Linked DNA regions of Oreochromis niloticus. The protein of the gene in region 2 purifies or fractionates together with the protein of the main gene of each other region. This does not show direct contact. Links are inferred from orthologs where the notes say so. Each region holds a gene or a part of one and is shown on either strand. Other genes may lie near its edges.

Region 1 (16,640 bases), on a different chromosome or scaffold from region 2:
TGCACTTTTCACTTCAGCAATGATGAATCTGACATAGGAGGCTGCCTTGATTTTCGATTAGAGGTGTAATGATGGAGATGATGCTGTGATGCCAGCGATCATTACTACAGTGCAACATCCTACATCCTATTAGTTTTACTGAGGCATCAATCTTATGGTCCACCGAACAACTGCTCAATTTAATAAAACAACACATCTCTTGGCAGTGTCAGCATCATAAATAGCGCATTAGTGTAAACGTTCTTTTGTATGTCAGCTAATAATATCACCACCACTTATTTCTTCCTTTTATAAAATCAGGATCCTCTTAGCTTCTATCTAATTTGTATATAAAAATAGCATTTAGCTGCAGGGAAATGCGATAGCACTGCATTTGCAGACAGCAGCTTGAGCATCAGAGTGCATGAATGAATCAAAGGAAAGAAAAGTTGCTGTTGTTTTTCTAGTTTAGTGCAGCAATGCCCAGCACTGTGATCATGGCAACGTGACATCAAATTAAATCGAAGATGTCTACTAGCACGACATGAAGACACACTGCTGTGACTTACCCAGGGTTCCTCCAAATTCCCTCTCTGAGTCATGTGACAGTTTGTGTTTGAGTGCTTGACTGTTTGGTCTCATTATTGTGCTCCTGTTTAAAAAGAAGACAATATATACAATAAGTTAAAAGGTTGTAAAAATGACAACACAAACCCCTCAGAGACTGCATTCTTATTAAGATCTTGAAGCTTGAAGATACTTTTTTACCAACTACCAGCAATCAGTAATTATTATCTAAAACCGGAGATTTAAAGAGCATACACACTGCAATACACTTATAACTGGTTTATTAAACCCTGTAAACCCACAGAGTCCCTCCTCAGGGTAGACAAACTGAGATTTCCACCAGACTGTACCAACAAGACTGTCAGCGTTTGAACTCTTTCTGTAACAAAGCTGTCAGGAAAGTGAAGTTGACTTCAAAGGCATCTCTCCTCTTTCAGTAAAATCTAAAGCTGAGGGCTTCCGCTTGCAGTAGAGTATTTTTTTTTTAATGATTCTATTTGTACTTTTACGCGAGTAGATCCAAGCACTTCTTCTACAGGTGCATACTTGTCGGACTATATTTGATGTAAACCCCTCACACTGAATGGCGAGGCCATAATAATGATGCATTCAAATACTCAAAGGGAATTCTAAATGTGGGTTAATAATCAAACTTGACAAAAAGCAAGAGAAATGGTCAACGAGACTATTAAGGGTCATCAAAAAGTCATTATGGTTCGATTTAAAAACCTTTTTCTTATAAAATTTTAAATTGCTGCTTATTTCTGCACACCCGTGCTGGACTGTTGCGATGGGTGCCATAAATAAATAAGGCAAAGTTCAGGTCAAGCTGCTGTCAGTTCCTGAGCAGTTCTGCTGTGGACAGTGACACACGGGTTGGACCAGTTACCTGTGAACGAACTGAAGGCTTTCCGAAAACACCGCAAACACGAAGAGTGCAAATCTGTAGTCCTGTTTAGCTTCTTACCAGTTCCTGCAAAATGGGATGTTTGCATCAAGGCAGCTCGTCAGCGTCCATCCAGCAACCTGCACACGGACACGCCCCCAACTACGTTACCGCAGCACGAAATCCTCCCCGCGCCAATCAGGAGTCTCCGCGGTCATCAGAAGAGGGTGGGAGAAAAGGGCTTAGCCAATCAAATGCGATCGTCAGGTGGCGACAGTCCGTGTACTCTCCAGACAGTAGAAAATGTTGTGAAATTCGCCTCAGTCACCATCATGCTGACAAGTTAGATCAGTGCAGGAGCACAATGCTATATCTACCAGCTGATTTCAACAGGGGCAGCAAGAACCTCTGAATCCCACATTCATACACTTTTATTGCAGACAAGCTACATTTAAACATTCCTTACATGGAAACAAGCCCAGAAAACAGAGACTCAAACGACATGAAGGTAGCAGGTAGACACACATGGATTACATAATCAGAAAATTATTATTCAGCAAAGCACTCTTAAAAATTATTTATTAATACATGTGATTTTCACAGGACACAGGTTCTCTCTTTAGTCATTAATATTATGTACGTAAGGTCAATATTTTATCCTTCAAGTGAAACAGGTGCTAAAAGCTTCAGCTTGTACAGTGGATTATTCAACTCTATCTTTGTATAAGGAGGAGATGGAGAAGATTTTGTTAGTTTGTAACAGTTACAATATCAAACCAAAGTGGTACAGGCTCATTTGCACTTTAATGACAAGCACTTCAATTTAAATCTGCCACAAATTTGACGTCAGTTAACAGCTACTACTGTTTGATTTAGTGTTGAAAAATTAATAATTCCTGACTCGTTCGATCTGGATCAACAGACTGAACAGCAAGTGTTGAACAGAAAAGAAGTGTTTAAATTTGGATTCATGATTTCAGTGTAATTCTTTCCATCCCCCCGAGCCTTAGCCTCTTTCACAGATAACTTCTATCACACTCTGCTCCATCGGTGCGGGATCCAGGCAGCGGTGGGCGGCGCTTCCAACGATCTCATCTAGCAGGAAGTGCACGAGATTCTCGTCGGAAACAAAGCGCCACAAGTACATCTGCAGGTAGTGGCAGTCCACCTGGATCTGCTGCAGCCCGTATCGGCCAAAAGTGCGCAGGCGGACGCACTCCAGAAATGTTTTTAAGCTGATTTTGATAATTCCCGTCATCACGGACACCTGAGGAAGCAGAAAGATGTGCAAGTGAAAATGTAAGATTTTTCCTTTTTCATTTTGTTAAATGAGGACCATCTGCAGATCTGCACCCACCTTGTTGAACTCCACTGAGCTAAAGATGTCAATCCTTTCAGAGAACAGCTTGTGTATGTTGCTCAGCAGATTGGTATCCATGGGAGCACTGAAGGTAAACAGAAGACAAGTGCTTAAGAAAATGTGTTTAAAAATAAATTTAAAAAGTTAAAGTGTGATTAAAAATGCCTATGAAACAACTGACATCGTACTTTGAAGTGGTAATATAACACTGTATCTATGTGCCTTTTATTTATAATATTTTAATAACCACTCAGTGGTTATTAAGATGTCATTACAATGTAATTTCTTTATGCTGACATTTCCAAAATCACTCACTGTACTCTACCAAAATAAATAAATAAATGAATCAAAATCAAAAACGGGGTGCCAAACATAAGGCCCAAGGTCCAAAATCGGCCCGACAAAGGCTCCAATCTGGCCCACTGACTGGCATAGAAAAATGTGAAGGCAACCATACATTTTTGAATTTTAATTGTGTTTTCAGAAGTTTTACAGCTTTTCTTACTTATAAAGAGCTTCCCTGTGGCCATTCATAGCAAAGTAAAATAATTAAGAAAAGTAAAGTAAGATAGGAAAGGAAAGGAATTACAGAAAGATTCCTGTTTTTTCACTGTATATTGTATTTTTTACTGTGAGTCAACAAATTTTCAGTTTTATAATTATAGGACAATATGGTAATAAGCTACCAGATCTTTCTGTGTAATTTTACACATTTATTTCTTACAGTTTAAGCCCAATGAGTCATGCTGACAGTTTTCTTTCATTAACTGCAGCAGCATTTCTTCATCACGTAGAAAAACCGAGACGTAGTGTTGAAATTACACTTCTTTTTCTTATATTGGGATATATTAGGGATTAAATGTTTGGTTAAACTTCCGGGCCACTTACGGTCAAAATAGGCTGCATGTGGCCCACAATATAAACAAGTTTGACATTCCTGATTTAAAATTTGTAGGTAGCTCTGCACCACTGCTACCACTATTATTAACTATCTTAAGGTCAGTCTTTGAAAATCCCATTCTCACCACTTGCATGTGTGTGTTTGCAGTGCACACTGGATCACATGCTGTGTGGTTAAGAGGACAAAGTTACAAGCCAGAGAGCCATAACTTGTAAACAGGTTGCTGCATGCTTACACACCAGTCAGTTAATTTCTACAGAAATGTTTATCTTCAGATACCGCCGGACATAGACCGTTATGCCCTTGGAGACAAACTCACAGCAGAAAACTGTGTAAATGTTGCAAGTAAACTGCACGAATTCTGCATTTTCACCTTTGACCTAATGCACAGCCTCTGAGCTTGAACACTCCAACCTTTTCCACTGAAAATTCCTGTTTGGGAGTTAGTATTTGTTTTCTATGGAAGTTTGAAATCACAGATGTTCAAGAACATCCAAACGCCGATTGAAAATCTTGAAGGGAAACATTGGACAGATATATAAAGGCCCTTCTATTGTTTCATTTTCTGCACATTACACTCTACTTACTCTACTTTTGCGCAATGGTGTAAACCCATGGTGTCCAAACCCAGGCCTCAAGGGCCGGTGTCCTGCAGGTTTTAGATGTGTCCTTGATCCATCACAGCAGATTTAAAAGCTAAATTACCTCCTCAACATGTCTTGAAGTTCTCCAGAGGCCTGCTAATGAACTAATCATTTGATTCAAGTGTGTTGACCCAGGGTGTTATCTAAAACCTGCAGGACACCGGCCCTCGAGGCCTGTAGTTGGCCAAGCCTGGTGTGAACAGAACCAAAAAAAAACCACGACTGCCACCAGCTGAGCGGTGTGTGTAGAGCTATGGTACCTTGGGGTGTAGCTGGCAGCATAGCGGGCTTGCTGCCTGGAGCTGCTGTAGACAGAGAAAGTCCTTTTGCTGGAGTCGCTGCTGTGCGCTTTCCTCACGCCCTCTTCATACAAGAGACCAACCTATTGTGCAGAAGTTTCATAAAACAGCCCGTTCATGTGGGATCATGAGTGCGTGAGGACAGTGGGACAGTTGCAAAAACTCTCACCTGCACATCAATGGATGTGGTGTCCTCTACCACTCTCTTCATGACAGCGCGGACATTTCTTGGCTCGATGGTGTTAACCCAGTCTCTGGTTTCAACGCTTTTTCTTAACATTTGGGAGATAATCAGACCCTGAACCTGAAGCAAAACAAAAATAAAGCAACTAAATAAAAAGGATGTTTCGCTTTTGTGACTTTTAAAGGTTGTTGATAAAAGCCTACCTTGACATAATGGTTGAGTAGTTTCTGTGCTGCCTCCCTGGCTTCTGCACATAAAGTTGTAACAGGTGTTACGGGACTGTGGTGCTGAGAGAGAGCAAAAAGCACATTCTTGTCATTGTCTTTGGCAAGGTGACTGGCTGATTAGAGAGATCAAACACATAATGACAGCTAGCTCTCCTTGTTTTGTGATACCTGTACAAGGAACTGTTCATCTGTGAGAGTAAGTATGTAGGAGATGGTAGAGGTTTCGTAGTCCAAGCAAAGACGAGACAGCAGCAACAGAAGGGCTGGGGGAGTTGAACCTCCTTTGTCTCCGGCGGTCTCACAAAACTGCCGAGAAGACTGGCACACAAACTTGATAAAGCTCACCACCAGGCTCTCACGTACACCCTGGCTGCAGAATTCACCCTAAAAGGGAGGGGAGACACACACAAACCGGTATCACTCGCACAATGTAGAGACAACACGCAGGGTTACAGTAACACATGATGTCACACATTAGTTCAAACTCATATGAAAACTATAAAAGGTAGTTTGGGAGCAAAAAACCCCAGAAAATGTTCACCTTGAAGTACGGCTTGTTGGAGAATGTGATGTCCTTAGCTGTAAAGAGATGCACTGACGCCAGCACCGACTTAATCTGATTGAGAATTGAGGCTGACAGGGAGGAGAGCAGCTCTGGTAGGCTGGTTGGAGCGTCTCTGCCAGAGGCTGGCCCAGCCACAGAAGTGCCAGCCACAGAGAGACGAGGAGTTGCCAGAGCCTGCCTCACGTCTGTCAAGCTGTCCATGTAGAAGCTCTGCAGAGCGGAAAGGTACTGCTTGACTCGCTCCGTTGCCGCCCGTATCACAATCTCCGTCCCCTTGTTTGGCACAGCTGAGCCAGGCAGAAGTTTGGCCACAGCCTGGAGTCTGCGGTGGAAGCGGTCCAGCGCACGTACAAGTAGGGAGTTATCCCCGACCCCTTTCTCCTCTTGTATCCTCCGCTCGACAAGCATGAAATATCGAGCAGCCAGATCATCCACAAAGACATGCAGCTTGCCATTTGCCATCTGAGGAATATTTTTGGATGCCAGCTCACCCTTTTGAGCATGGTTGATAAACAGTTCTTGATAGGACGTGATTACCAAACATAAACTGCTCACAAACTCATTGCAGCCTCTGTCGATGAATTCCAGAATGTCAGTGTTTGATGCGGGGGAAGGCAGAGAGCTGTTTTTGGGAGAGCCATCGGCCGGCGATCCGGGGGCTGTTGTAGACGACAACCCATGCACGGAAGCATCTTTTGTGGCTGAGGTGGACGGGTACGGCCTTATCTCTGCTTCCAGGCCCTGAAGATCTGACTCAAGGCGAGACCGCGCGTGGCTCAGGAATTTATCACAGAGCTCTTCTGCTGGCTCATCCAACTGCAACAGAAGCTCCACACACTCTGATAAATCTTTGGCACTTGACCCACCATCCCTATGATCACAAGAAGAAAAGACAGAAGCAGAAATTTAATGAAACGTGTGATTTTTTTTTCCTGAAGTTTGGTCAGTTTTGGCTCACGCATCAGCCTCTTATAAAAGGAAAAGTTTTTGAGTTGGCATCTAAAACTACACTAAAAACTAAAACTAGGTGTGAAAGCACATCCTAGTCAACTTAAATAAAACTACACTATTTAAACTAGACTTTGGAAAAAAAACTTACTGAAACAGTATAAAACAAAACTACCCAAAATAAAACAAAACAAAACAAAGCAAAAATAGTATATATGTATAAAATTTGTCAATAAAACCTCTCTGATGAGGTTGATGTCCATTTGTTTATTGTCTATGAGTCAACTCAATTGCTGTTTTTTTAATTTTTTATTTTAATATCTATGCAGTTGTGTCAAACATGCTGTTTATGCCAATTAAAATTATTTTTGTTATATATTGTAATAACTAGTCATTGTCACCTGAACTTCTGTCGAAGCTCCTGTGCCAGCTTGTCCATGATGGCGTGACAGTCATCCTGAATTCCCTTGAAGGAGGGCAGGTGGCTGTACTGCTGCAGTACGCAGCGAGCACGGCGGTGGGTGTTCACTGCCTGAGCGTAGGCCTGCAGCTCCAAACATTTATTCAACCTTGCAGGGAGTTCAAACAGAAACTGCAGCTTCCTCAACAGAGTGTGAACACCTGGAGTGAGACATGGTAAGACCCCAAAAAATAAATAAAATACAAATCACACAATTAAAAAGTTTCATTCAAATAAACAGTCAGGTTAGGTCTCACCAGAGAGTTTGGTTATCTGCGCATGCTGGTCTTGAAGAGTGCCGCTGATCCGAGCGCTGAACTCTGTGATCGCAGCCATGTTAGCAGACAGACAATCCATTTCATCTTCCATCTTCTTGAAGTCATTCTTCATCTTTCTTATAGTGTCTGGCAGAAGGAAAGAAAAAGGAAGGCTGTTTCAGCTATCCAGGTTTGCACAATTTAATGTCAGCTTACGTTACAGCAGCAGCGTGTGTGTGTGTTTGTGATGTTCCCTTCACCTGTAGCTGATATAAACTTGTTGTAGTTTTCATACACCAGGGTCTGCATGTCGCTGTCCAAAGAGCGGATCTGCCTGACCATACAGGTCTCCTGGTCCATCAGCTCCGTGAGAGAGCACTCCCTCCTGAGCTGGATTTGGATATTTAAAAAAAGAAGTTACTGTACATATGCTTAGTGGTCATTTGTGTCTTCTATATGTAGTGTGATGTAGTATTAGCACTGGTTCATTTCTCACTGTTTGGCAAAGACAGGAGCAGATTTGTGTTTTAAAATTCACAGCCATCTATATCTTTACTTGTAGTGACATTACAACTGGGACAAATGAAGGAAGTACTCTGGTGTTTTCTTCAGTTCATGTAACATCACTGCAATCTGCACTGTGTATAGTATTGTCGATTTCAGCATTTCATGTTCTATTATCTGGCATCAAGCTTACGCTAAAATTCTGAAGCAGTCCAGCTTTGTGAGCCACTGAACGGATTACAATGACAATAGCAGTTTCGCACCTTGTTGAGATAGAGCTCCGGGTCAAAATGAGGCCCATTGATGTCGCAGGGATCCAGGGACTCCGGCTGCTCCGGGGCCTTTCCTTCCTCATTCAGCCCGTAGTACAGCTTCAACATGCCGTGCACTCTCCGCCTCCTTCCCGGGTCCTCAGCCACCGGCACCGAGCCCTCGTCCATAATGAACGGCGGCCAGCTGTGAAACGTTTAAAGTAAAATAACGATAAACAAAGGCGACGACAGACCAGCTGACAGGAGACAAACGACAGCCTCTAGCTGGGAAACGGCAACACAAAGCTCCTGTGTGACCGCTGTGTGTTTAGCCTCGCTGCCAACTGGAAACAACAAAATCATTCAGGATAAATATTCAGAAAATGTCATATTTTCTCTGAGGCAGAAGCAGCTAGGTGGAAGCGGTGTTGTTTCCGGGTTTCTAGCCTATCCGGTGTTACGTCGCCCACCAGTGCACGTAATCTAAACAGCCAATTAGAGCAGTTTCTCTTTGTTGATCTTTTTATTCACTATAGGCTTCAAAATTTATGTATTTTATGTAAGAATGTATGTTTTTGGCAAAGTATAGACAGAGACAAAGCTCATAATTGTTCAGGTAAGTGTTCTAGTTATGCGCACAACTGCGCATGTCCTAATTGGCACGTAACGCCATATTAAAATGCTTAGATTGAAGGAATCTTCCATTTTTGGGGGTTGTAGGGAAAAATTAAATGACACCAAAATGGATTAAATGTGTATGATAATCTGTGATCATAGCAAATCCTACAATGTTGAAATCAAGAAAAACACAAAGAAATGCTCATCCCTTGAGTGATCAGAGGAAAAAAACACTTTTATTATAAGATTTAAAATGTGACAAAAGTCTATATTTTATCATGAACATAAAAATCATAGAGGAATAATAATCTGGGATATAGTTCAGGTATTTGAAAATCATTTGTGAAAGCAGAAAATCAGAGGTTTTAGGTGCATGTTAAATCATTTCCACAGGAGCACTCACCAAGCTTTCTACATATATATCAACTCTTATCATACCTGCCATATATTAAAACATAAACATTTAACAATGAACTTATTTCCCCAAACAATTTGAAATGGATCTAGCTAAGATGGCACCTCAGTTAAGAAATTGTTGGCTCGACTCTAACATTATTCTACAACTGCAAGTGTTTAAGTAAAACAAAATGCCACAGAAATACTGATGAGAAGTTTGCATGACGTTATGTTATTAAATCATATGCAGAATAACATATTGGTTAAAATATGGCTTTAGTACACTTAAGCAGCAGGTAGCAGACTGAGGAAGGAATATTTGATGACAGGTATGTTCAGAAAAACGGGGCCACTTTCCATCATCTCATAATTTTAATGAAGGCCGAGCTGACAACCGAGAGGAATTACAGTACACTGTTCAACATCCGCCATCCAGTTACTCAAATATACTCACATCACATAACATAAAGGAAATACATCATTTTAAACCATAGCAATACCACAACTGTCCATTTTCTGGTTTCAATGCACCAAAACAGTAATTTAGACGCCAACCCAGTAGAAACAAAAAAGGCACTTTAAGCTTCTGTAAAGTGTTTGAGACCTATTTCTTCATTAACATATACAAACACTGGCAAGTACATGAAAACAAACCAAAAGAAAGTAAAAGTGTTCTCTCATAAAAGCTAACAAACAATACAAAACAAATCTCCTGCTGTAAAATGTTTAGAAACAGTGTATTAGTATTAACAAGTGCAGCATCACATGATGTGTAGACTGTCGGAATGCCTATTCTACAACGTGACATGCATAGTGTTTGTTGGCAACAACATACTGAGCTGCTGGCGTTAGTATACAGACAGCAGCTGATACACAAGTTGAAGCATAGAAAAGTAAGGACATTCTGCCGTTTGCATGCTGAGGAAAATCGAGAAGAATAGACCGCATGTGCCGCCACATCTCCAACGAGGGCACGTGTTCAAGTGGAAGGCGCTATTACAGAGATGTGGAGACAGAAACTGCCTCCCTTAGCATTAGTGTGGGGTTCAGAGTGACACCCGGGGGACTCTGCCAAGTGCTGGAGGCTAAAATCTGTCTCTGCAGCGTTAAGGTAGCACACACTTGGTTGCAGCATGTCAGACAGGCTTGCTTTGGTGGAAAGACTTAAGATTTTCAACAGTGTGGCCACAACTTGGTCCTTGTTTTGTGTTCAGAACACACAGTCGCTCTCTAGTGACAACCGGGTCAACAGATTGGTTAGCTTTTGGAGATAAAGTGAAGCAGAAATTGTTTTAATGCTATATAAATCTAATAATCAAGTAATGAAATTCTTTGCATTGGTAAATGAATCGTCGTAAAGCTGAAAACGAGGCCTTTTTCCCCAATGATGTCAACAGTGACCGTGTTTGCAGAAAAACAACACTGTTAGTTTCTTTAATGTCTACACTTTCAATTTATCTTCTGTCATGTCAGAAGTTGCACAAGAACAGTATTGCATCAGTTTTCTTGCTCATCAGGTCCAACAGTCAGGTTAGACTGTGCCGACAGATCGCTTGTACTAATCGTCCATGCTTTGAAATTTAACATTTGAATACAAGCATGGTGCGGCAGTGCTGGATGATCTTTAGATGAATATATTTTTTCCTACACAGGTTCTACAGTTTTATAGCTTTAATTCAATTCTTTTATTAGTGCAAATCCATTTAAACACTTGATACTGTGACCACAGAACTGCAGCTTCTTTAACAAGAAGTTTTAAAACTCACATTTTTAAAGCAGGTCGTCGTGCCACCTCTTTCAAACTAGCTGCAGATATCGCTTAATATTGACTTTGTCAAAAACTCCTGTACTTACAAAAGTCCTCCACAACACAGCCAATGTGCTCCCATAAGGATTGTTTATGGTCAGGATAGCCGGACGCGACACGTTTCTACTTTTTCTGAAGTGGCTTCACCCTTTGTAGAGATCAAGGCACTGGCAGTTTGAAAAAAGCAGAATAGCGGAAATGCACCCTTAGATAGTCCCCTGAAAAATGTTTGTCATGCTGACTGTTGCCGTTTGTGGTATCGCTTAAAGTCTGAGGTGGAGTCACGAAAGCTTTAAATATTCTTAATGCTCAATCCCCGATAAGATGAGTAGAGGTAATGCAGTGGTTATACTCATTTGAGGTGCAACATGTTTGAATAATAGCAGTAAATCCGCTTCCAGAGCGCTGCAGAAAGGTCAAAAACAGTTATTGACTGGAGTCACTGTTTGAGGATTATTATAAGGCTTGTCTCACACTTATTCATCATATGATCTTTACAATAGGCTGTTTAAGGAACACCCACTTCAGTTGAACCTTGGAAGCATAGCTGCTAGATCTTTTTTCACATTACTGTACTCGCTTAATGTACACAACTTCAGAAGATAAATATTGTCACTCACACTTGGATTGCTGTCATTTGGTCCTTTACATGTTCATATATTAGCAGATAAATGTCTCAAGCTCAAAGTACATCTCTCCTTTTTTTTTTGTTTTAAATCTCAGTGTAAAATGTTCAGATTTGGTCTCTGAGAGGATCGGGTCAGATCTGATGGGCGACTTTAACCCTGCTCCAGACTCTCTGTTTGCACTGCAGAGTAGGACACTGCAGACGCCTGTCGGGCGAAGAAAGACGCGGCTCTCTTGGGCTTCAAGCGTTTGATTTCTTTTCCTAAAAAAACAAAAAACAAAAATGAACAAATGCTGAAAAGAAAAAAAATCTCTGATACTGTGAAACGGCACAGAAGGAGCTACCTCCAGAAAGGATAACCCTGCTGTTAAACAAGTTTGGCCCTCACCGTCATCGACGTAGCTGATGGTGTTAAGCGACTGGACTCTGCTGCACACAACGCTGCCTTGCCTGTGCAGCATCCCGCGCCTTCCGCCACGCCCATTCTTGCTCCTTTCTTCCTGTCCGCCGGGCTGCTGTGACAAACTCACCTCGCCGTCCATCTCGGCTGCAGCTGCCCCCTCGGACGCAGACTTAAGCTCCACGCAGAACTCGATGAAGCCGCTCATGAGCTCCGCCTTGTTGGATGGGACAAAAAAAAAATTCAGTGTAAATTCAATGAATAGTTTATATAATCGCCACACGTAAAGTACAAATTCTTTTTTACACTAATTAATTAATAATAAATGAACAGTACTCATTCATACGTGATTATTTTTGAGCTTTTATGTATAACATCTTGACATATGTTTGACTAAGACACTTTTCAATATCAAATAACTAAAGACCCAACATAAAATACTCACAACATATATGAAATGCAAATGCACACTAAAAACGATATAAGGCTAAAAAACACTTTAAACAAAATAAATATGGGTCTTGTGTGGCATCATCCTTTGTGGCACATACTAGATGACCCTCACACAGTCCCCATGACTCGAGAGCCTCCTTGAGGGCTCTGGCTAACATTTCCCCTGCATGGTCGTCAAGAAGACAGCACGTCTGCAAACACTGACTGCAGTGCGTCTGGTCTCGGGTGAAGTGCACTGTGCATACATTTGATGCTGCAGTGTAGCATGCTACATTGTAGATTTCCTCCAATGTTTTGGCCCGACACTCATAATATAAATGAGGCAACTGGACTTGCGTGAAGTGTTTTCGGCTGGACATGTCAAGTGTTTTGACCAATTTAGAAATCCCTGTTTCTCGACATTCTAAGTTAGGACCGTGTCTTTATAGATAAAAGCTGCAATAGCTGCTATTATCTCCTTCCATCTTTGTGAGTCTATTATATGGCGCGCCGAGGGTAAAGGCTGTTCTAACACTTGACTCTGTTGTATTTTGAGCACCTAACGGTTCTTTTTTTGCTTCTCATTTGTGAACCCTCTCCATACTCTTTCATGTGATCCTTGCGTAGGTGCTAGAACAGGTTTGTTGTGTCGGAATCTGTGGTGGGGACTGGTTTGTGGTATAATTTTGCAAAGTATAGTTTTCTGGTTCATATCAGACTTTTTACAACACAACTATGTATATGCTACAGAAGTAGCCCCTTGTTTAGGAACAAGTTCTTTGATTTGTTTTGCAGTAAACAGTGTGTGTGTGACAGCACAAAATAAACGATGGTATAATATGAAACAACAGGCATTTTAATTCCATCTTCCGATATATTTCGTCATATCCTACAGCCCTACTAAGGCTTAGAGCCTGGTGATTATGGTAATAATGCTTTTACTATTAGGTAACAACTTTTTGGTGCCACGTTTACCGAATGAGGATGATATACCTGAAGCACAAAAATGACTTGATATTTTTTAGGCACCTATATCAATTGTAACACTCATCTAAACACAAATATGCACAGCTGCTTCATTCAATCCTGGAAATCTCACAAACAGCAGGTGCTCTTGAGAAGTGACTGCATCTTTTGTCCAAGTTGAAAACATCTCATTTGAAAGTGCGTCAGAGGACTACAGCTGACAGCCATAAGACATGCTTGAATAGAGCAAAGAAAGTGGAGATATTCACACCATATTATTTTTTTTAATTTCATAAAAAGTTTTCAAACAGCTGGCGTCAATAGTTGAGTACTGAGGATAGTGGATAGAGGCTTTCTCCAAATGGGCGTAGGCCTCTCCCTTAAAGATAGGGTGAGGAGTTCAGGGTTGAGCTGCTACTCCACTGTATCAAAAGGAGCCAGCTAACAAGGATGTCTACAGGAAACTGAGATGTTCTGAGCATGTCCTACCAAGAAGATTCCCCAAAGCCTGGGAATCCCTCAGTGTTTCCCTTGGGTGAGCTGAAGGAGTAAGTAAAGTAAAGTAAAGTAAAATTTTATTTATATAGCACCTTTCAAGATAAAATCACAAAGTGCTTTACAGAGGCAGAGAACAGACATTAAAATCCAAAACAAAACAAAATTAACCAAAACCAAGTTTAAACAGATAGTCATGTCTTTTAAAAAGCAGTTAAAAACCTGAGTCCACAGATCTCAAACTCAAAGGGAGCGAGTTCCAGAGTCTGGGAGCCACTGATACAAACGCTCTGTCACCTTTTGTTTTTAACCTTGTATGCGGGACAACCAGCAACCCTGGTCACAAGACCTCAGGGACCTGCTGGGGTGATAAGAAAGAAGAAGTTCACTTAAGTAAGTTGGAGCTACACTGTGCAGGGCCCTATAAGTCATGATTATGATCTTAAATTGGACCCTGAACTTGACAGGGAGCCAATGCAGCTGAATCAGCAGGGGAGTGGTATGGGAGTGTTTGTGATGCTTTGTCAGAAGCCTAGCAGCAGCATTCTGAATGCCCTGCAGTCAAGGAGGTAGTGAGGGGAACACAAAGGAGGTTTGGACTTCTCTGCTAAGGCTGCTGCCACAATGCCCCAGCCCTGGATGAGCGGATGGACGGATGGATGGAAAAAGTTTCTTACCTGTTTTGAGTAGATCTTTAGCAACTTGTTGACAGGAGTGCCGTCTTCATCTCCATCAAACTCCAGCCACAGGATGTGTGAATCCCCCTCCTCCTCCGGGTAGCTGTGGTCCCAGGAGAGCTCACTGAAGCGCAGGCCAAGCAGCACGTGCTGCGGGAAAACATTTCCATAACAGGAACAGAAGCGCAGAGTGAGAACCACGGCATGTGCGGCTGCTGTTTTACAAAAGGTGTGAAGCACTGCTCACCTTCTCTTTGACATCCATCACATAAACACCTTCCAGGCAGATCCCGATGTTGACAGCTTTACGTTTTCCCCTTTGCAGGATCCCCTGCGCTGGTTTGTCAATCTCCCCAAAGAAGAAAGCACACCTGTTTTCACATTTAAAATTAATCATTTGCCTTCTGTGGAAAAATACAATTCAAAAATGTGTCATTATGCTAATTCATACCCATAATAAGGCAGCGTGTGACACGTGTTGAGGTACTGGTGTAGGAGCTGCGTGGGCTCGGGAGAGCTTGCAGCAGATGTGCAGATCTTACTGTACTCCTTAAAAAGGTTCTGCTCCAGCCCGACCTGACGGCTTGACTTCCCTCGCAAAGTAGAGAACAAGCCTCCGCTCCCCATGGTGACATGTGCAGGCAGATAAGAAGACAGCTTCTTCTCCCTGTGGAAAACAGAGGACAGAGGTTTGCATCAGATCTGTGAAGTATTTCCTCTCGTCTGCTCCTCTTTCCTAATTTACCCAACTGTCAATCTTTCTTCCTTTCATGTTTGTCTCATTTAAATGTTCTTCGCAGCGCGTCTTACTGTGACTTTTTGTGAGACCAAAGGACAAAATGCACTCATCTCCCAATTAAATTGTTTACAGTGTAGCTCTAGTTTTTGACCTTTCCTCCTTTAATGCTACCACTCACATTCTTAGATAAACATGCTCCTTAAGTGCGAGAGAACTACTTACTTTACAGAATCTATTTCATATAATTATGTAGAAATCTTCTGATGACAGCATCTATATTTAAAATAACCCATAAACACGCTTCAAAGAATTGCCCAGCTTTGTCTCGTCATCGGCTATCATAGGAATCTATTTTATTCTACTTTGGACAGTTAATGTTTTTAAACTAGTTGAGGTGCAGCATTATTGTTTATGTTCATGCAGTAAGAACATCAGATTATCTTTCGCAGTATAATACTTATGGATCAGTCAGTAAATTGCTTTGAAACAGCAGGGAGGAAGTTCACACAGCAGATAAAAACACAGAGTAGGATTTTGCAACACCATAAGCAAAGACTTCCTTAAAAAGTCTATAAATATGCATGTTTTTGTGTAGCTGTGGGTGCCTGTAAGATTCTTCTAAGAGTAGGTTACACTAATAATAATGATAATACACCTAATGCTGTATTGTATGTACAGTGTCAATTTTTAGTACTTGCAGTGGCTCTTAGACAACCTGACAGAGAAGAAACCTATGATGAATGTTGTCATTAGAAATGCCTTATCCCACCTGCACACCAACAAGTACTTAGAAATACACTGCAGTGTTCAGGCAACTGTTAATAATAAAAAAAAAGGACTACTGACCTTTTTCACAATATCCGTGTACCTTTTACAGGACTGTATCACATCGTCATAGACTGTAGTGAAGCATTAAAAGCTACTCCGTCTATCAGATCCCTAATTGAGGAATATGGAGGCTGTGGGAAATGGTTTGGGTGGTGCTTTTTTTCATTGTTTATTTTTTCTACTACATTAGGCTGTGCTGTAGAAAGGCATCCTCTCCAAGTCTGACAGATTTATGAAAGGCAGAACCACCATTTATTTATAAATAAATGGAAGAGAGATACTGTTTCATTTTGCACAAACTGCAAAGTCTGTGTGAACGTGTATGAGCACATTCTCTAAGTGCAAGAGTAAACAGAGTAGAATACTGGGAAAAACTTAGTCAGATTAAGCAAGGATTACTTTTCTGAAATGGCACGCAACTGGCTCACTTTCACAGATATATATTAACTTCACTGACTCTGCAGTTTTCTTCTCTTCCATCTATGCTTTAAGATATGCTCTTCAATAAAAAAGAATCCCACTAAATTACCAACGCCTTAAACAAAAAATTATTTTAAATACTTTAGGTGGAGGGTACATAATGTGAATAAGGACAGCGGTCCCCAACCCCCGGGCCTCGGAC
Region 2 (16,944 bases):
GAACATTTTGTTGCTCAACCTCCAAGCACTCCAAAAGCCATTTAAGCCTATTGTAATTTTAATGTTAGACATTAGCTTGCTGGAATCCTTATGTATGTAAAGAACTACAAGTTTCTCTGTATGAAACCTGATGTGTCACATGGACAATCTAACATGTTACCTTTCACTGGTTGTGCAGTAATTGAGTTTTCCTTCACTTTCTCCCACCACCTGCATCAACTCAGAGGTCAGCTCCGAACTGATTCACATTGATCCATCGGTCAGTCACATCACTGAAGGGGACTCCGTGTTCCTCTCTGTGAAAACCAACTTTTCACCGGACAAAGCAGACATTCAGGGAACTTGGTTTCACACCGGGATGAGCGGCACCAATACCCGGATGTTGGTGACATTCACCAAAACAAATGAAATCTGTAACATGAAGCATTGTGACCAACTCGTCTTCAACAACTCCACCTTTTCTTTGGAAATCAAGAACTTAAACAGAAAAGATGAAGGAGATTATCACTTGAGCATCAACATAAAGTATGATAACAAACCAGGAGACATTGAGAAGGAGGAGAAAACCGTTCGTGTAACCGTAGATGGTGAGTTGCATGTTTCTCAGACCTTATCTTTCCCATTATTTAATTTTATTAATTGGTGACTGCTCGGATATTAATTAATGTTTCTTGCCTTCCACCACCGACTAGTCCCTGTGTCCAATCCAGCCATTGAGAAGAGCCCTTCCTATGCAGTCATTGAGGACAAAGCAAACGTAACCTGGACTTGCTCTGTTGAGAACGGAACAAGAGTTATGTTTAAGTGGTTCAGGGATAATGTTGCACTGGGTCCCAGTGACAGATACCACTACTCCCAAGATAACTCGACACTGTTAATCAGCCCTGTGAGAAAAGAGGACAAGGGAAGTTATCACTGTGTGGCCAGCAACCCGGTCACCCGGGGTCAACACAGCAGGGCTGTGGAACTCAACGTCTACTGTGAGTAGCTGTAGCTTCTTCTTCGGTTTATGAACCCTGTAATGACTTTGTTCGCATCCAAGAGCTGCTTTATAAAGATTTTTATCTTATAGAAACAATTAAAAATCTAAAATGTCACATATGTGTTCCTGTACTCTAACCCTAAATCCTAAACCTTGTTGTTTTCCCTTCTCCAGAATAGCTGGAAGTGTTGGGTCATGTGTAAATTTTAGTGAGATCAGCCTACTTACTATCAGCTTAAAAACAAACAAAAAAAACGCCATGCGCCTGTTATGGGATGGTATTTGCATGGGAGCAGACTTATCTCACAGAGCTCCTCTGTTCTACTATAAACGGCGTAGATGCACCGATAGACTTTATTGGATGTGCCAGTATGAGGCTGAATCGAGGACGTACTGCATGCGTAATTTTTCCTGGGTGTTCATTTTAATGTGTTCACATTTTTACAAAAGAGACGACTTTGTATTGAAGCGTGACAAAAGAAAGGCGTTGTAGGTTTTGTCTACAGGTTCCTGCACTTTTTACCTCCACCTCTTTAGTCGTGTGTGTTGTTCTCATCTTGGCGGTGACATCACTTTTGTTTGCATAGGCAGATCGTGTTTGTGTTTCAACCTGCAGGAAGCACTCTCGGTTTCTTTCAGTTTTACTGTATTGAGTTTCTAGTACAGCCGGTCTCCTTCTTAATGTTTGCTTTCACTGGAAAATACAATAAAAAAACAGCTGATAGTGAACTGGTCTGTTTGCTACTTATAGCTAATTGCTACTACAGTAGTTCTCGTTTAACAGATCATTTTGTTATTTAACAGTTAGGTTTTATCTAAAATGTATATTAATATGTTTATAAATAATATGCTTGACTGTGTTGGAAAAAGACAATTCTTATTTTAAGTTAGTGCGCTTTCTCGACAGCCCATGTTCAGTGCTGCACCAGTTCACCCCCGCCTCACCAGGTCTCAGTGTTCTCCACTGACACTGTCAACATACCCACCCATATTTATCCCACTACTCCGTGTACAAACCTGTGACCTTGTATTTAGAAACTCACTTTTCTTACCCTGCTTTCCTCTGCTACCCAATCATGCCTTAGAACTGGACGGTTCATGAAAATTACCCACAAAGCAACATCTCACCAGCAAACTGTCATGTTTTTCTCACTCTCCACCGGCCCATACAGATGGCCCTTACAACCTTGAGGTGAACTCTGTCCAGGGCCTGCGCACAGGGGAGGTGTTCACCATCAACCCTGGGGAGCTGGTCTTCTTTGAATGCCAGGCTGACTCCAATCCACCTAACAGCTATGTGTGGATCTCCAAGACCCGCAATGCAACTCAGATCGTCACAGAGGGCCCTCGGCTAGAGGTGCGCTCCTACAGACTGGCCCAGGCTGAAGAGTACCTTTGCCGTGCCTTCAACAACGTGACGCAGAAGCAGGACGAAGCCCAGTTTACTCTGGTGGTGGCCAGCTTGGGAACAGGTGGGTAGAGGGTGGAACATGGCAAGAGGGAGGAGAGCGTGGGTAGGTTTTGGGAATCCTCTGAGATAAACACTCTGCAAACAGTGTGTCACGCCAAACGCAGAAGAGCTGGGTGAGCGTTTCGAGATAATCGTTGCCAATGATAAGCACTGCCCACCTTTTGGGAACAGTTGGGGAGATAAAATACTATAACTGGAGCATTACACTGCGTAAAAGCTGACAGGTCAGACCAGGTTATGGCTATAATGAAATATACAGTACATTATTATAAAACTAAGGTTATATCTGTGTTGCTAGGCTCCAGTACCTGCAGCATGTATTTAAGTTCAGTGGCTGGGAAAGTAAACACTGGATAACAGCTGTTATGTTTGTTGACAAGGTTTTATAGCATATGGAGTTTCTGTGTGCTGAATGCAACATTAATATGTTGCCTGGGTGATACTGAGAAAGGGACATTTATGATTACTGCTGATACTGACTGATTTAACACGTTGTTTAAGGAGTCAACAGATGCCCTTTTTTTTTATTGACATCGAAATCTTTTATGAACCCTACCAAATTTCTTTCTGATGATTACAGTTTTAAAATTCAAGGATTTTACAGACATGTTAGCCACTGTGGAAGGCTATACCGACTGTCTGTAAAAGAGGATACTGAGATGATTTATTTATGTATTTATTTTGGCACCTGACCTGCCCATATTTAGATAAATTGTGGATAAGAGAGTGTAGTTCGACATTTTCAGCTAATGCTTGCTAGCTTGGTTAGTTAGCATTGTACCTTGGTTAGGTTAGATACCTGCTAATTAATGGTAACACATAAATAAAATTGGTTGAATTTCTCACATTAAGAAAAACAAAAACAAAAGAGACTACAGCTTAAACAGGTAGCCTTTATTTAACCACACTGCAACAAACATTAGTTTCCAGGAAACTGCTATAAATGTCAAGTTCAGTAACGTCATTTAGCTAAAGTGCTACCTAAAAGACAGCTAGCTAGATACCGTTAGCCTTTATCTGAACTCACCGGCTACTCAAAAAAACCATCATACATAAGATTTAACACATTTTAAACTGAAAAGTACGTTTTCACTAAAGCCTTTGTTTGCTTGTTTTTGTAGCCAACTTCAATATCCCTGAGTTGTCTCACTGCAAGACACAAAAACACGATTTCAATAACACATCTCAGCTTTTCTATGTGATAAACAGATGATGCTTCAGTAAATGAAAGAAAAAGTTACAAAAAAAGTTCTGGTAGCTCATTGGCTAGAATGTCCTGTATTCATAAAATGTATATGGTAAATAGTGGAATAAATAACAGGAATAATTCTGCAAGTTAATTGTTTATCTGTTAGTTAATTACATTGTTAAAGTATGAAGGGCCACTGTACAGGAATCTTAAATTCGGGAAAACTATGAAAATAAAGTTTACGTTTTCCAAAGCTGTCCAGTGGGCCAGATTGGGGGCCGTTTTTTGCTCCCTGGCACAAAGACCAACTTGTTAACTCTGTCATTCCTACAGAACTGGCTTACTTTCAAATTTGTGTTCATGTATCATTCATGTGACTGTTGTTCATTAACAGGGAAAGAGAAGCACACCCAAGAGGGTAGCTCTGTATCACCGCTGGCAGTCATTACTGTCTGCTCTTTTTTTGTCATTGGCTGTATGCTGCTGTTCTTCCTCAGGAGAACCTGTCATCCAAAGAGAGGTTAGATACTGTTTTCTGCTGTTGCTTTGGCGAGCACATTTTCTTACAGAACCATATTTGCTTTTAATCCCTGTGAGTTCAATCTTACTTTCCTCCTGGTTTCCGAGCTCTTGCATGTGGAATTTAATAAACCTTCCCACAGCAGTCATTTTGACTTGAAATGTAATTAGAAATGGTATTAATTAATGTCATTTGTAACACCCGTGTTTGCCTACTTTTTCATGTGGAAAAAAACAACAAAAACAAAAAAAAGAAAATGTTACTGGGAAAATGTAAATGACTTGCAAATGTTAGATTAAAGGAAACAAGGGCAAAGTAACTTCTTTATTTGAGGAAGTGAAGGTCACATTTGTTATGCTGTCGCTTCTGTTTGCGTGACTTTATATTTTTCTCTCTTTCTCATTCCCGTTCCCCTCTCTTTTATCACCAGTGCTTATGAGCATTTACAACAAGTAAGACCCTTTATTATGAAATTAATTCAAAAATCTACCATCGTGTCTTTTCCCCACATAAGCTTCAATTAACATTTGTATTTGTTTCTGAGCAGACCGTTTTCAGAGCAGAAACGACCACATCGTTCAGGTAAACTACTTTTTTGTTCACAGATTTCTCATTTTTGCCCTCTTGTTACCGTCAAAAACATTAATTATTAGGGATCCCAGAATATTCACTCTCATATTTATTTATACACATGCATTATATCATATTTAACAAGGAACTGGATTGGAAATATTAGATGAACAGGGCATTTACTGGACAAATCAGCTTCAAAAAAGCAAGTTTGAAAGCTAAACAACTTAACTTACCTTAACTCAAACAAGATAAGGAGAATTTAATTGAGATTAGAGCAGTTTTATGTTTTTAGGTTTATGACATCATATAATTTACCATGCCATTATAAAGTCTGACAGGGATTACACATTAACAGCTCTACTGTGGCAAAATTTTTGCTCTGATTTATCAAAATGTGTATCAACAGGTCACGAGGATGCAACCGAGGACTTTGGCATCTACGAGTTCGTCTCCATACCTGGGAAGACGGAATCTACACAGGTATTTTCACAACCAGCAAAGCAGCAACACTCATTTTTTCCCAAAATCCTTTGTTTTTTTAATGCTTTTAATTTGCCCGTACAACTAATCCACCAGGCATCGTGCAGATCTTTGGCTCGTCTCGAATCGATTCAAGATATGCATACTACCATCTACGATGTGATCAGACACGTTCCTGAAACCCCGAGTCACAGTTTGCTGAAGTAAAGTCTGGCTGGAGAGCGGAGATGGAACTTTAAATGGTTTAACTTGAAGATTTCCTTGTAGCTTTATTCTCTTAAGTCTCTGTTATCAAAGCCTGAAGCACTGGTTTTGGTGGCCTGGTTTTTTGCACAAGGGATGAAGGAGACTTGTGGGATTACAGAACCTGATAGTGCACTGCTGTTGACGAGAGTTTTGGACGGATGTTAAGTGTATTTTGCTGACATTGGTGTGAAATGAAAATGTATGTTCAGCTCATTTTTATTTTTTCTGTGAAAGCATAACTGAAGTTAAAACCCTTTTGTTTTCTGTTTTAAGGTGAAGATTATGTAAAACTAAGCAAGTTAGAAGTATTCAGTTTTACCTTATTTTGAAGATCTTGTGATGCATCCAAGGTGCCGAAATTGCCACATTATAGATGAAAAAAAACCCCACGAATATTATCATTTTAATTTAGCGTTCCCTGCTGAGAGAGTATATTTTGTGAGAAGTGTTATAATTAATGCAGTACGAAATATATATTCAGGTTAACTGTAAATATTGTACATGGATTATCCAGCAGATTCTTTATACATATTATTCTATTTCTATGTTTCACTCTAATCTATTTATTCCTATCAAAACTTTCAGCCCTGCTTCCCCAAATGTAGCATTTTCCCTCTTCTCATAATGGACACAATGAAATGCTCAATGAAAAGACAATGATAAGGAATTCATTATTGTACAGTTTGCATTCACATGTTTGTTTTGTACTTTATTAAAAATATAACTGTTTACTACTCTGGTCAATTGGAGTATGGACTGTTTGCTGACATCAAACAAGGACAATGTACTCTAATCTGCGAATTCTGCAATTATGTCTGTATTTTTGCTTTAGTTTGCCTTTTTTTTGTAAAAAGGCAAAAGCAGTAATGGCTTGAAATGAACATTTGTTCTTTCACACTTCCTGGAAAAAAAGAATAGCTGAAGCCAGCAAAGCTGTCAGTTGTTCTGTTGCTTCACAGTCCATCTTTGTCTGATGTCTTGGCTGTAATCTCTCTCCTAGCAAGAGTTGTGCTTTCAGTCCCAACACTGCTGCAGAGCGCTAGCTTCTTTCAGCCTCGCTGTATTGGTATGCTGTGTACCTGATAGAGATAGGCAGCGACAGACGGATGGTTCAGCATGTGGCATAGTGCCCTCCACCTGCTCCCGCTGACACCTTGTCACGAGTAGATAGAAACGGGTGTGCGCTTGCTCCTGTTTGTGTGCGCGCGCATACATATATGTGTTGTGGACAGAAGAGGAAATACAGAAATACAAATAAAGGGGCAAGCGTGGAGAGAAAGTCAGAAGTAGAGTGATTCATTCAGAAAGCGGAGGCCAAATTTTTATATGCAGCTCATTAGAAATGCTCCAAGTTTGCCAACCTTGGAGAATGAATCACGTAAAGGAACATTTGTTTCTACTATTATGCAGCTTATTATTACCAAACTGTTGTATACTCATTATGTGGTACCATGCTGAGTGCATCTTTTCAGTGTGTGAAATGCTATAGCACAAAATGCTGGCTACTATAGTAAATTATTATCAAACTGTAGTTGTTTCTTTTTTACGCCATGAACATTAAAAAACAAAAAAATCTAAGTCTAGAACTCCTGCTGAATTCTAAGGTGTGACATATCACGATGCTCTCCTGCATAACAACAAGTTGTTTATTAAATCTTGGTCTAATTTTAGCTGTTGAACTGACCAGCCGAGTGCGCTGTGTCTTTGTGGTGGCATCTCCGGGTAGGGGTTGCCATCTGTTCCGTCTCAGTGTATACTTAAAGGGAGGCTCCACACTGTGGATGACTGCCTGACAAACAACAGTGGAGTAAATTCACCCTAAGGAGAGCGACCTCACCTTCATTTGACTGGGAAATAGCCTGAGGCATCATTAACCAGGAACTAGAGCTCGCAGTGCCTGCTGTGTGCAGCAAGCTGCCTGCTTTTAACCAAGCACAGCCCGACATAACACCTAAGGGGGCAATTACAAAGCAGGCTGAATAGGTCTGTGTGTGCTGTTTTGGGAATTATTTGGAACAGTTTACAATGCAGAGCCAGGCATAACTGCATGCTTGGCAGAGATGAACCTGCGTGGCACTGATGACAGCGGGCAAATTCTTGGTCATGAAAGTAAATTTGCTGCGCTAAACATTTACAACATCCCAAAAATAGAAAAGCCTACTTTATTGTGTTAACCTGTATGTATATAATGTGTATAATACAGACATAAAGACAGTGGCTGTAGAATTAAAGGAAATCATTCTACTTTATTCTTAGGAATAAAACAAACCCTGGAGCTGTTTGGAAACCCGCCCATGTGGTGTACTGATAATAAGTGCAACATTATAACACACGTTATATTTTACTAATTAATTGTTTTTATAGAATCATTAGCATATAAACGTGTATATGTTAATATGTAACTCGTGCACATTAATGTGTAAAAGTCTTGATCCGCCCCTCATTCCTTTATATTTTTCTTCCATGGATACAGACTTTCTCATTTGCAGTGTTGTCCTTCTACCTGACCATTGTCAGAGGACTGTTTGTTCATTTGTTTGTTTGTTAGGTTAATTTATGATTCAGACATATTAAAAAAAGGCACCTAACTCAATAGATGAACCAGTGTTGTGTCTGCACATAGGACACTGCTTAGCATTGTATTTAATTGTATCTTTAGGCACTTTGTTACTAGCAGACTGCTGCTAAAAACATCATTTGGTCCCATTTCTTTTGTTGAGTAATTTAAAAATATCAAAGACAACACAGGTGACAGACAAAAAGTAGTATTTTTGCACCAACAAGGTGATTCCCAAAAATTTGGCACAACTGGATGAGCTGCAATGAGAAAACTGAACAAGTGGAAGAAAGTGGAAGGCCTAAAAAGTATCTACAGTAGATGAACATTTGAAAGTCATGTCCCTAAGAAGCAATAAAAAAAAATTCAGCATTTTTTCAGTTGCTCTCTCGCTCTCGGAGATGGTCTCAGTGGAAGGGTAGTCGTCAAGAAGCCATTCTTGAGGAAGCGCAACAAAGAGAAATGACTGAGGAATGCCAAATTACACAGACCTGGACTGAAAATCAGTCCAGGAGTCATGAATCCAAATCTGATCTTTATTCATATTGTTGTCAATATGTATGCAGGAGGTACCACAGTGAGTGTCCACAGCCATCTGTAACAAAAACCAACAAGCAGGGGAGGGTCTGTCGTGGTTTGGAGCGTTATTTAAGGCCGCGGTGTTGTGGATCTTTGTCAAAATTGATGGAATTATGAACACAGAAAAGTACAGCCACTGATCTGCCATGCAACATGGTGGAATGAAGCACATTGGTGAAGATTTCATGTTTCAGCATGGCAAGTACCCCAAACACCCTGCTAGTGCAGTAAAAGCAAACCTGGAGAGAGAAACACACAGTGAAACACTATCAGTCACAAAAAGAGCTTTGAATGTCATTCAGGTATAGAAGGACAGAGGACTATTCCTGATGACTACCTAAAGAAATTACAAGAAAGATTACCTAAGAGAGTTCACAGTGTGTTGAAGAACAAATGTTTTAATACCAAATATTGACTTTAAGGCTTGTTTGAATTATATAAATCCTATTTTTGTCTTACATACTGGATTTCTGTGTATGTTTGCACACACCTCAATAAACTGCTGCACCTGTTTCCCAGTTTTCCAGCAAAATATAAATAAATGTCGTGTGACTCAAGACTTCTACAAAGTATTGTAAGTACCTGAATAAATCCACATACAGAGATTCAGCCTAAAGCCATGTAAGAGAAAGATAAGCATATGTGTTGCCATTAACGTTAATGATGGCTCAGTTTTATTCCAGTGTCCCATGGCAGCCTCATCTCAGGAAAAACAATACAGCCACTGTGTTTCTTTTGTTTTTTAAATTTGTTATCATTTGCACCCATATTTTCGTTATTTTGGCACAAGGAGGTTAGATGACTGCTGTGTACTATCTCTGTTAATTTACTACCATCCAGTGGCGTATGGCAGCAGTACATTACTGTAGTGTCAATCTTTGACGCCATGTTTATATTTTATCATATTTTTTTTAAAATTTAATTTTCTCTGTTTATAAAAACATGTACTTTGGATTTCGTCCAGATGCTTTCATTTTTAATACGTGTGAAAAGCCTGACAGGCAAGAGCACGAGCACTGGCTCTTAAAAAATACATTTCCCATAAAGCTTTGCAACGTTCCGGTTCCTGCCCTGCCAGTCACGTGAGACTCAACTATGGCTTCCTTCTCGTAGTGATGGAGGTGCACTGTTGACAACAAGACACAGCTGGAGCTTTATTCATTTCTTTAGCCGCTGATACAACTTGGACTTACGATGCAGAAGATAAAGTCTCTTATGGCCCGTCAGGTGAGCACAGCAGGTGTACAGAAACTGCGCTACCGGCTGTTTGTCTCTGACAGGAGCCGGTAGTTAGCATGACAGCCTGCTAAGCTAACTGGCTAATTTGACAGCTCATCGTTTGGTTCATTAAGTGAAACGTTCAGCCAGACTAAAAGCTGTTTCAGTTGTTTACCTCAGGCAAATAAGGCATGCACATAGCAATTTACCTCACGCCCCGGTGGTGAAAGTTTAACACAACAACAATAACAACACAATAAAGGGAACTGGGCGGATAGAAGGAAGTTCTCAGTTTGCACATGCAGTAGTGTTTGGCAATTGGTCAACACTGAACACAACAGAGCATATCGCTTTCAGAAATCTGCCCCTCAGTTCCACTTTTTGCTGTATGCAGTAGTGTGCTGATGACGTTTTGTTACAAGTTACAGATTAAAAATAAAAACACAAAGAGTAACGTTAACGCTACCTGTTGTTTGTAGTTTTAATTTGGATCTTATTTTGGCAGGGCCTGAAAAGCCCCCAGGAGAGCATGGCAGACCTGAGTCCTGTGGAGAACCTGAGAATCCCGAGCAAGGTAAACTTCAAGTCGAGACTTAGACTGCAGCTGTCTGGTTTAATGTGCTGTTTGATGCATGTGGACAGTTTCTCCATCTACCACTTTGTGAGTAGATGGCTGCATTCCCATGTTCATCTGGTTCATTATGCTGTGAGGTCTGATAACTTCAGTGCTTATCTTAATAGTTTTGCTGACAACTTTTAAAAAGCTGCCATATTTTATTCTTTTCGAGCCACAGTGAACGCCATCGAGGAGGGATTGTTTTAGCAATTGCACTACTGCTGTTGGACACAGCTGCAAGCTGTAACACAGACCCCGAGTGATGTCTTTGTCATTACCCAGAGTCAGCACTCATATTAGTAGTAATGCCACCACAAGGCTGTCAGTATTACTAGAGATTTAATTTGTTAATGAAGTGTCGATGATTCATCAGCTATACATTGGATTTCATTTTTTTGTGCTTTATCTAAACAGCAGTTGTTATATTACAGTTATGCACAACTGAAGGCTCCTGTTTATATCAGTTAAACAGACTTTATGTCAGTCCTCCTCACCCCACTCAATTTGTGATGCAGACACTGTTATAAGAGTATTTGAACATTTCTGGCATGGCAGCGTTTCAAATTGCACTTAGTCATGCTTGGTCACAGGAAGCGTTTGTCACTATCCCCTTTGTACAAATTCAATTCGTCAAGTGTCGACGGAGCAAAAGGCAGAGCGGCTCTATTTCACGTTTAGTTACATTCATTCCTAGTGTCGCTGTGGCTTTTCACTGTAGTGATGACCTTCAATAAATGACTCTGAGTACAGTTTTGTTACTCTATTTGTTCACGGCGCTGGGAGATATGAGCCAGGTCGACTGAACAAGACGTTTAACCTTTCTGGTTTTTGCACACTTAGCGTTTACGTTTTCTTTTCGTATGGTGTGCTGTGCTGATATGGCGTGTGATTATTTTCTGCTCAGGCTAATGCTGTGCTGTGATAGATGAGACCAAAAAGAGAGTGCATTTTTGTCAGCTCACCAGTGGCGGTTAGGAAAGATTAAGCTGACTGAATTTTAAAATCTGCTTCCACTATAAAAAAAAAAGAGAGGAGTGTCTGATAAGCTCATACTTAGTTTTTATATATATATATATATGAGTATTTCTTTACAAAATTATAATGGAAAACAGTCACATTTAATACTCCAATAATGGGAGGTTGTTTTGTCATATTTGTATAAAGCCTTGTAGATCTGCAGACAAACTAATCCACCTTTTGAAAAGATAAGCAGATATTTAATCTCCAGGTGTAATAGGTGTCTAATTGAAAGCAGACTGTGTCTTCAATAAAGATTTCGTTTTGTTTTTTTTTCTCAGTGGGCACCTCTGTCTCCTGGCCTTGGAGTCAGGTGACATGGTCAAACTGGATATGCAGTAATCAAACACTTGTTTTGTTTTTTCCTTGCTTGTAATATTCTCGTTTGTCAGTGCTGGACTGAGACTCTGTGCAAGACCTATCACACCTGCTTTGTTTGCCTTATGTGTTATGAAGCAGTAAGGATAATAAGACCGAAGTAATGGCTTCTGTGGATGTGTTCATATGGATGTGTGAAATGTAAGCAGACAGTATGCCGCTGTCCATCGCCTATTAGGTTGCTCTTGTGTGTGCACTGCAAATACCTGCCTGTTGTGTATTCAACATAAACACAGGGCATCATTGTTTGTTGGCTTTATACTTTGGCTTCATTTACTTTGCTTTCATTAACGTGCTGGCCCTCTCAGCTTACAGGAAAATAAGATGGGGCCACGACACAGGCCAGGCTTCATGTAAAAGTAGTCCTCCTTCATTACAGGAGAAATAGTCCTCTGCAGGAGTGAGACCAAGGTGCTATTATATGATCATTTTGAGAAATACTGAGATCATGATTATTTAACACGTCACAACGCAGTTAAAATTAAACTTTAACTTCCTCCATTAACATTATACTGATACCCACTGATTGGAACCATTGCTGTGTTTCATTTTTTATTATTATTAGTATTTTTTTTTTACCCATGAGTCACATCATTTATCATCCTTCACATGCTGACAGCAACATCTGGCTAACTGCAGGGGGAAGGCCTGATGTGTGTGATGATTAAGTAAATGCTGCTATTCAGTTACTGTTAGGACACAGTTTGAGGGTTTGAAAGCAAGATCAAGATAAATGTGCAGTAGTCGGTCTGTGGCTGTGGCTTATCTCTCTTTTGTAGTATTTAAATGGAAGGACAGCCATTCAACACATTCATCAATAATGAAAGTTTGTTTGTTTCAGTCTGGTAGTGGTGGGTTAATACAGTCTGAAACAGGGTCATGATCTCATTAAATTGGCTAAAAAGTATGTAGAGGCAAGTTTGTTTGTTTTTTAATTTATCAGTTTGACTTTTTTGTGATTAATAGAGGTTATTAAACTTTAGACGGATGGTCCTCATGTGAGATGCTTGGGGATCAGGGTTATTTTAAAGGGGTAGTGGAAAATGGGTGTTTTAGGTTATTTGAATGTTTTGCTGTATTGTTGCAATGAAAAATTACAAGATTTGCAAAACCCTTTAAAGATGTCGGAAGCTTTTCTTTTGATTGGTAATCCATAAAAGGGAAAAAATAAAGCAGCTTCGTCGGGGGCGGTATTTTCACTTTCTTTTTGTTTTTTTTGCAGGGACGCAGGTGTCAAGATGATTATGTGCACATACGGAGGTCAGACTCTTGGCAATAGCATCAGTTTACCCTCAGGGAAAGCTATTCTCAAAGAACATCTTATCCCTTTGTTCTCCTGGTGCTGTGTACCTAACACCTTCTACAAACATGTAAATCTGGGTCACAGCGAGACATGCGCCTAAAGTTAACAAGTTACAGTCTATTCGAGATGCCAGTATGATGCCACCTCAGTGTGATGAGTAACAATTGAAAGCTATGACTCAACAGTAGAGTCACAGCATTCGAATTACAGAGACCTTGAGTGATGTCTTTGTTATTGCTCAAGGTCTGTGTTATTTTATCTGCCAAGGTAGGAAGATTTTTACCAAAGCCTTTGTAGCACAGATCGGTAACATGCTTTTGGCTTCATTGGGCAAACAATAGTAATCATAACCTATTAGCATATTTTAGTTAAAGAGGTCCTCATGTGGGTTTTGTTTTCTTCACTGATACTCTAGATGAGATGAAAGAAGTGATCATTGAAAGATGTTTGAAAAGCAGTTGGTGTGTTCAGAGGATTCTCGCTGTAGTTCTTGGGACAGTTAATTTCTACAGTAGACGGTGTCACCTAAATTACTGAATGATCAGAGCTACCTGTTGTTGCTTACGTGACTTGAAGTTGTGCAAGATGGATTGTTTTGTTTTGATCTTGCTGATCTCATGAGAGTCCAGCTGCCTCGCAAGGTAATGTGTTTTCAGGCGTTATTAGATCTAGCCTTTTAGGAGTGACTTTACAATTACAGATCTTTCCAGACCCCATCAAAAAACCAGACAGAAAAGATAAAAGATGGAGGTAGCTACTGTGATGTCATCCACTGGTTTTTGAAGTCCTGTTTGCTCATCCATTAGCATCCAGTGGAATATCCTCCTTTTAAAAATATAGTTGACCAAGATTTACTCTCCACAGTGTCTTTTTTCCCTCCCTGATCCTGGTTCTGCTGGAGGTTTCTTCCTGTTAAAAGAGATTTTTTCCTTCCCACTGTCGCCAAGTGCTTGCTCACAGGGGGACGGATGTCTGAGGGTTTTACTTATTGTAGGATCTTTATTGTAGAGTATAAAGTGCCTTGAGGCGACTGTTGTAAATTTGTGCTACATAAATAAAATAAAATAGACTTAATTTTTTATTCAGTGTGACCTAATATGAGGCACTCCGCCCATAATTACATTAGGAAAGTTTTTACAGAGGTAAAGTCAAAAAGCAGTTTTCCCATAAACTTCTATAGGACCAGAAATCTTTTTGCAACCACAGCTATCGCCCTCTGGTGGCTTTCAGATAGAATGCTGGTTTACTTAGTTACTTAGTTACTTATTTTTCTGGCCCGGAAGCTATATTAGTGTTGTTTTTGGATGCAGTGAATTAAGCAGAGGCAGTCACATGGACTCCTGTGTGAAGCAGATTTTAGAATACCATGGATACCACAGCTTGTCTGCTGAATAAAATTGGAAAATAATTTCAGATGCATACTGAATAAGATACTTTTGGCTGCTCCCTTATTCACACAAACACACACACAGGCACACACACACTCTCACAAGAATTAAATGGCTCTAAGCCCTCAAGCTATTTTTTTAACAACTTTGATGTTTTTTATTCTTTTCCTTTTTTTTAATCTCAGTGTTCCTAAGCTGCTTTGTGGCTTGTCAGTAAAAACAAGCCAACCTTCCACCCCTGTCCAGTCCTTTCTGTTCAAAGCTGTTGTCTCTCTGTGAGTCACTGTTGAGGGGTTTCTTTGAGGATGCTGTGGTGTTTTTATCTCTATTAAGTGATTGCAGAATTGATAACAAAGCCTAGAATAAAAATTTGGTTGGTTTGTTTGGTTGCATTTATTTATTTCCCTGTTTGTTCCAGAGAAATGAATAAATGCTGGTTATTAAACAAGTTTTAAAGTCTCTCAGCCTTAATTACTCTCCTCGCATGTTTTTTTTGCGATTAAGAAAATCAAAGATTTGCTTGATGTGTAGGATGTGCGGATTTAGCTGTTTACTTTGTTTGCATCGTGCACCGATTTATGAATAATTTCCTAATCTCAAAGCACCTGATAATGACAACAATCCTAATTACTCACAGTGTGTTATAGGTTTGGTCATACTGTGAAACATGTAGGCAGGTAATTTCGGTGTGATTTTGTGATACACTGAAGACAAAATTCAGTTATTTAAACCTATAAAGCTTGAATTATTTTATAATGGGCAGAAATTTTCATTTTTTTTAAAGCTTGATTGTTTAATGAGCATTGTGACAAATTAAAAGAAAATCATATGTTTAATATTTGCAACATCTGATAGTTTTGTGTAATGCGCAGTTTTTTCAGGGAAAAAATTAACCACACCAGTGATGTTAAGGTCTCAAATCCTCATGTATCAAATATTAGACACTTCGTGTTGTAGGATGAAGTTTGCTTTTGAGAGACCAGCAATTTGTTTCCCCAGAAGCCTCGGCGTGTTCGAGGTAAACAGCTTTTCATTCATACAATAACCATGTCCAACCAGCAGGGGTCACCCTCAACTTACCCACCGCTCATCTTTGCCAGATTTAAAGCTCTCTTCAGGCACACAAAGGAGCACACATTATCTCCTAAAATTATGGGATTATTGATTGGATAACTACTTCTATTTGCTAGTATTTATTTCCTGAAGACAAGGCTTTGGGATCAATCTGTGAGGAGGGCGTGTTTGATAATCTCTCATTAGTTCACGCAGGATGTCTTGAGGGAGAACACAGCTTATTTTTATAGTTTCCGTTTTATGGCTTCAGGACCCAGTCGGGTTATGTAGATAAGATATTTTGTAATTATATATTTCAAAAGCCAGATCATGCACTCATACAGTGAAGAAACTGCATGGCATGAAAACAGAGCGCTTCTCGTGCTTTCGGCTGAAAGAGAGTGTTGAATGAAAGGTAGAATAATCACGTACTTCCATGCAGAAATTCAGCTGTCAGCGTTGCCTGGATTGTGCTGGATTGTGCGATCGTGGCTGCGAAAGACAACATTGTTCTTAATGGCAGACGAAGACACAGGCGCACAGTTAGTCTTGCGTGCATATACAGCACTGATTACAACGAGGACGTTTTGATTCGTTCATGTAACGAATGATTCTATGGTGGAGATAATTGGCCCTTCTCTCAGTCTCTGCTGTCTTCCACCCCCCGTGTCTCTCAGGGTTTTCCACAAACCTCCTTTTGTTTATTCAATCTTTTTTGTTTTTATCAGCGCTGCTGTGTTTGTTGAGCAGTTATTTCTTTCTTTATTTTGTTGCCACAAGCATAATTTTCCATATTCAACCAGCGCTCCAGTCGAACATATCCCCCTTTGATTCTCAGATAAAGCTTGTAAAACGACCCGCACTTAGGATGCAAATAGATTTCTAATTTCCGCAACGAGATGAAGATTTCATTAATTTGTGGAAGTGGCTGGGCTGGGGGCTGGGGGCCGGGGTGGGGGTTGAAGGGCTGTTTGTTTGTCTCTCATCCATCAAAGTGAAATTTGATCAAAGCCTCACAGCGGCTCACGGTTCGGGTTTCTCGTGTGGGCCGCGGGGGCGTTTGTTTTGCTTTGTGCCTGCACGGCGGCAGGCGAAGGGAGGGAATTATTTAACTCGCGGCAGACCTTCAGTGAGTCATTCACTTAAAGATGTTTCAAGTTTTGCGCGTCACTGCAGGTGGGAGACTGAGGCAAAGAGAGGGGAAGGAGAAAGACACTGACACAAGGTGAACTGCCTTCGAGTGGCTTCACGGGAGCCACTTCATTGTCTTCTGTTTAGCCCACTCCTCTGCCTTTTTTTTTTGTCTTCTTTCTGCCATAACTTCTCCGAACAGTGAGTCATCCTCCTCATCCCTCCTCCCTTTTTCACTTTCTC

What was found.
Region 1: the proteins of vps50 (region 2) and vps51 purify together in Homo sapiens (affinity purification with mass spectrometry; 7 studies listed by BioGRID and IntAct, counting the BioPlex papers as one, with this or other methods). This does not show direct contact. The link is inferred for Oreochromis niloticus from reciprocal best matches to the Homo sapiens genes VPS50 and VPS51.

Annotation. Positions count from the first base shown.
Region 1 is NC_031975.2:9,243,519-9,260,158, forward strand, and holds vps51 (vacuolar protein sorting-associated protein 51 homolog), read right to left. Parts: upstream 8,497-16,640; 5' UTR 8,222-8,496; coding exon 8,045-8,221; intron 7,668-8,044; coding exon 7,538-7,667; intron 7,425-7,537; coding exon 7,278-7,424; intron 7,182-7,277; coding exon 6,962-7,181; intron 6,484-6,961; coding exon 5,589-6,483; intron 5,432-5,588; coding exon 5,216-5,431; intron 5,108-5,215; coding exon 5,024-5,107; intron 4,941-5,023; coding exon 4,806-4,940; intron 4,720-4,805; coding exon 4,598-4,719; intron 2,878-4,597; coding exon 2,790-2,877; intron 2,700-2,789; coding exon 2,439-2,699; 3' UTR 1,846-2,438; downstream 1-1,845. Other genes in the region: delta(14)-sterol reductase TM7SF2, read right to left, coding at 549-621; frmd8 (FERM domain-containing protein 8), read right to left, coding at 11,633-11,742, 11,870-12,098, 14,452-14,601, 14,699-14,822, 14,903-15,118. UniProt on the Homo sapiens protein: Acts as a component of the GARP complex that is involved in retrograde transport from early and late endosomes to the trans-Golgi network (TGN).
Region 2 is NC_031985.2:24,114,232-24,131,175, forward strand, and holds the start of vps50 (syndetin), read left to right. Parts: upstream 1-9,669; 5' UTR 9,670-9,791; coding exon 9,792-9,824; intron 9,825-10,320; coding exon 10,321-10,389; intron 10,390-16,944. Other genes in the region: hepacam2 (HEPACAM family member 2), read left to right, coding at 225-587, 693-980, 2,155-2,454, 4,037-4,162, 4,593-4,614, 4,710-4,744, 5,142-5,215, 5,312-5,422.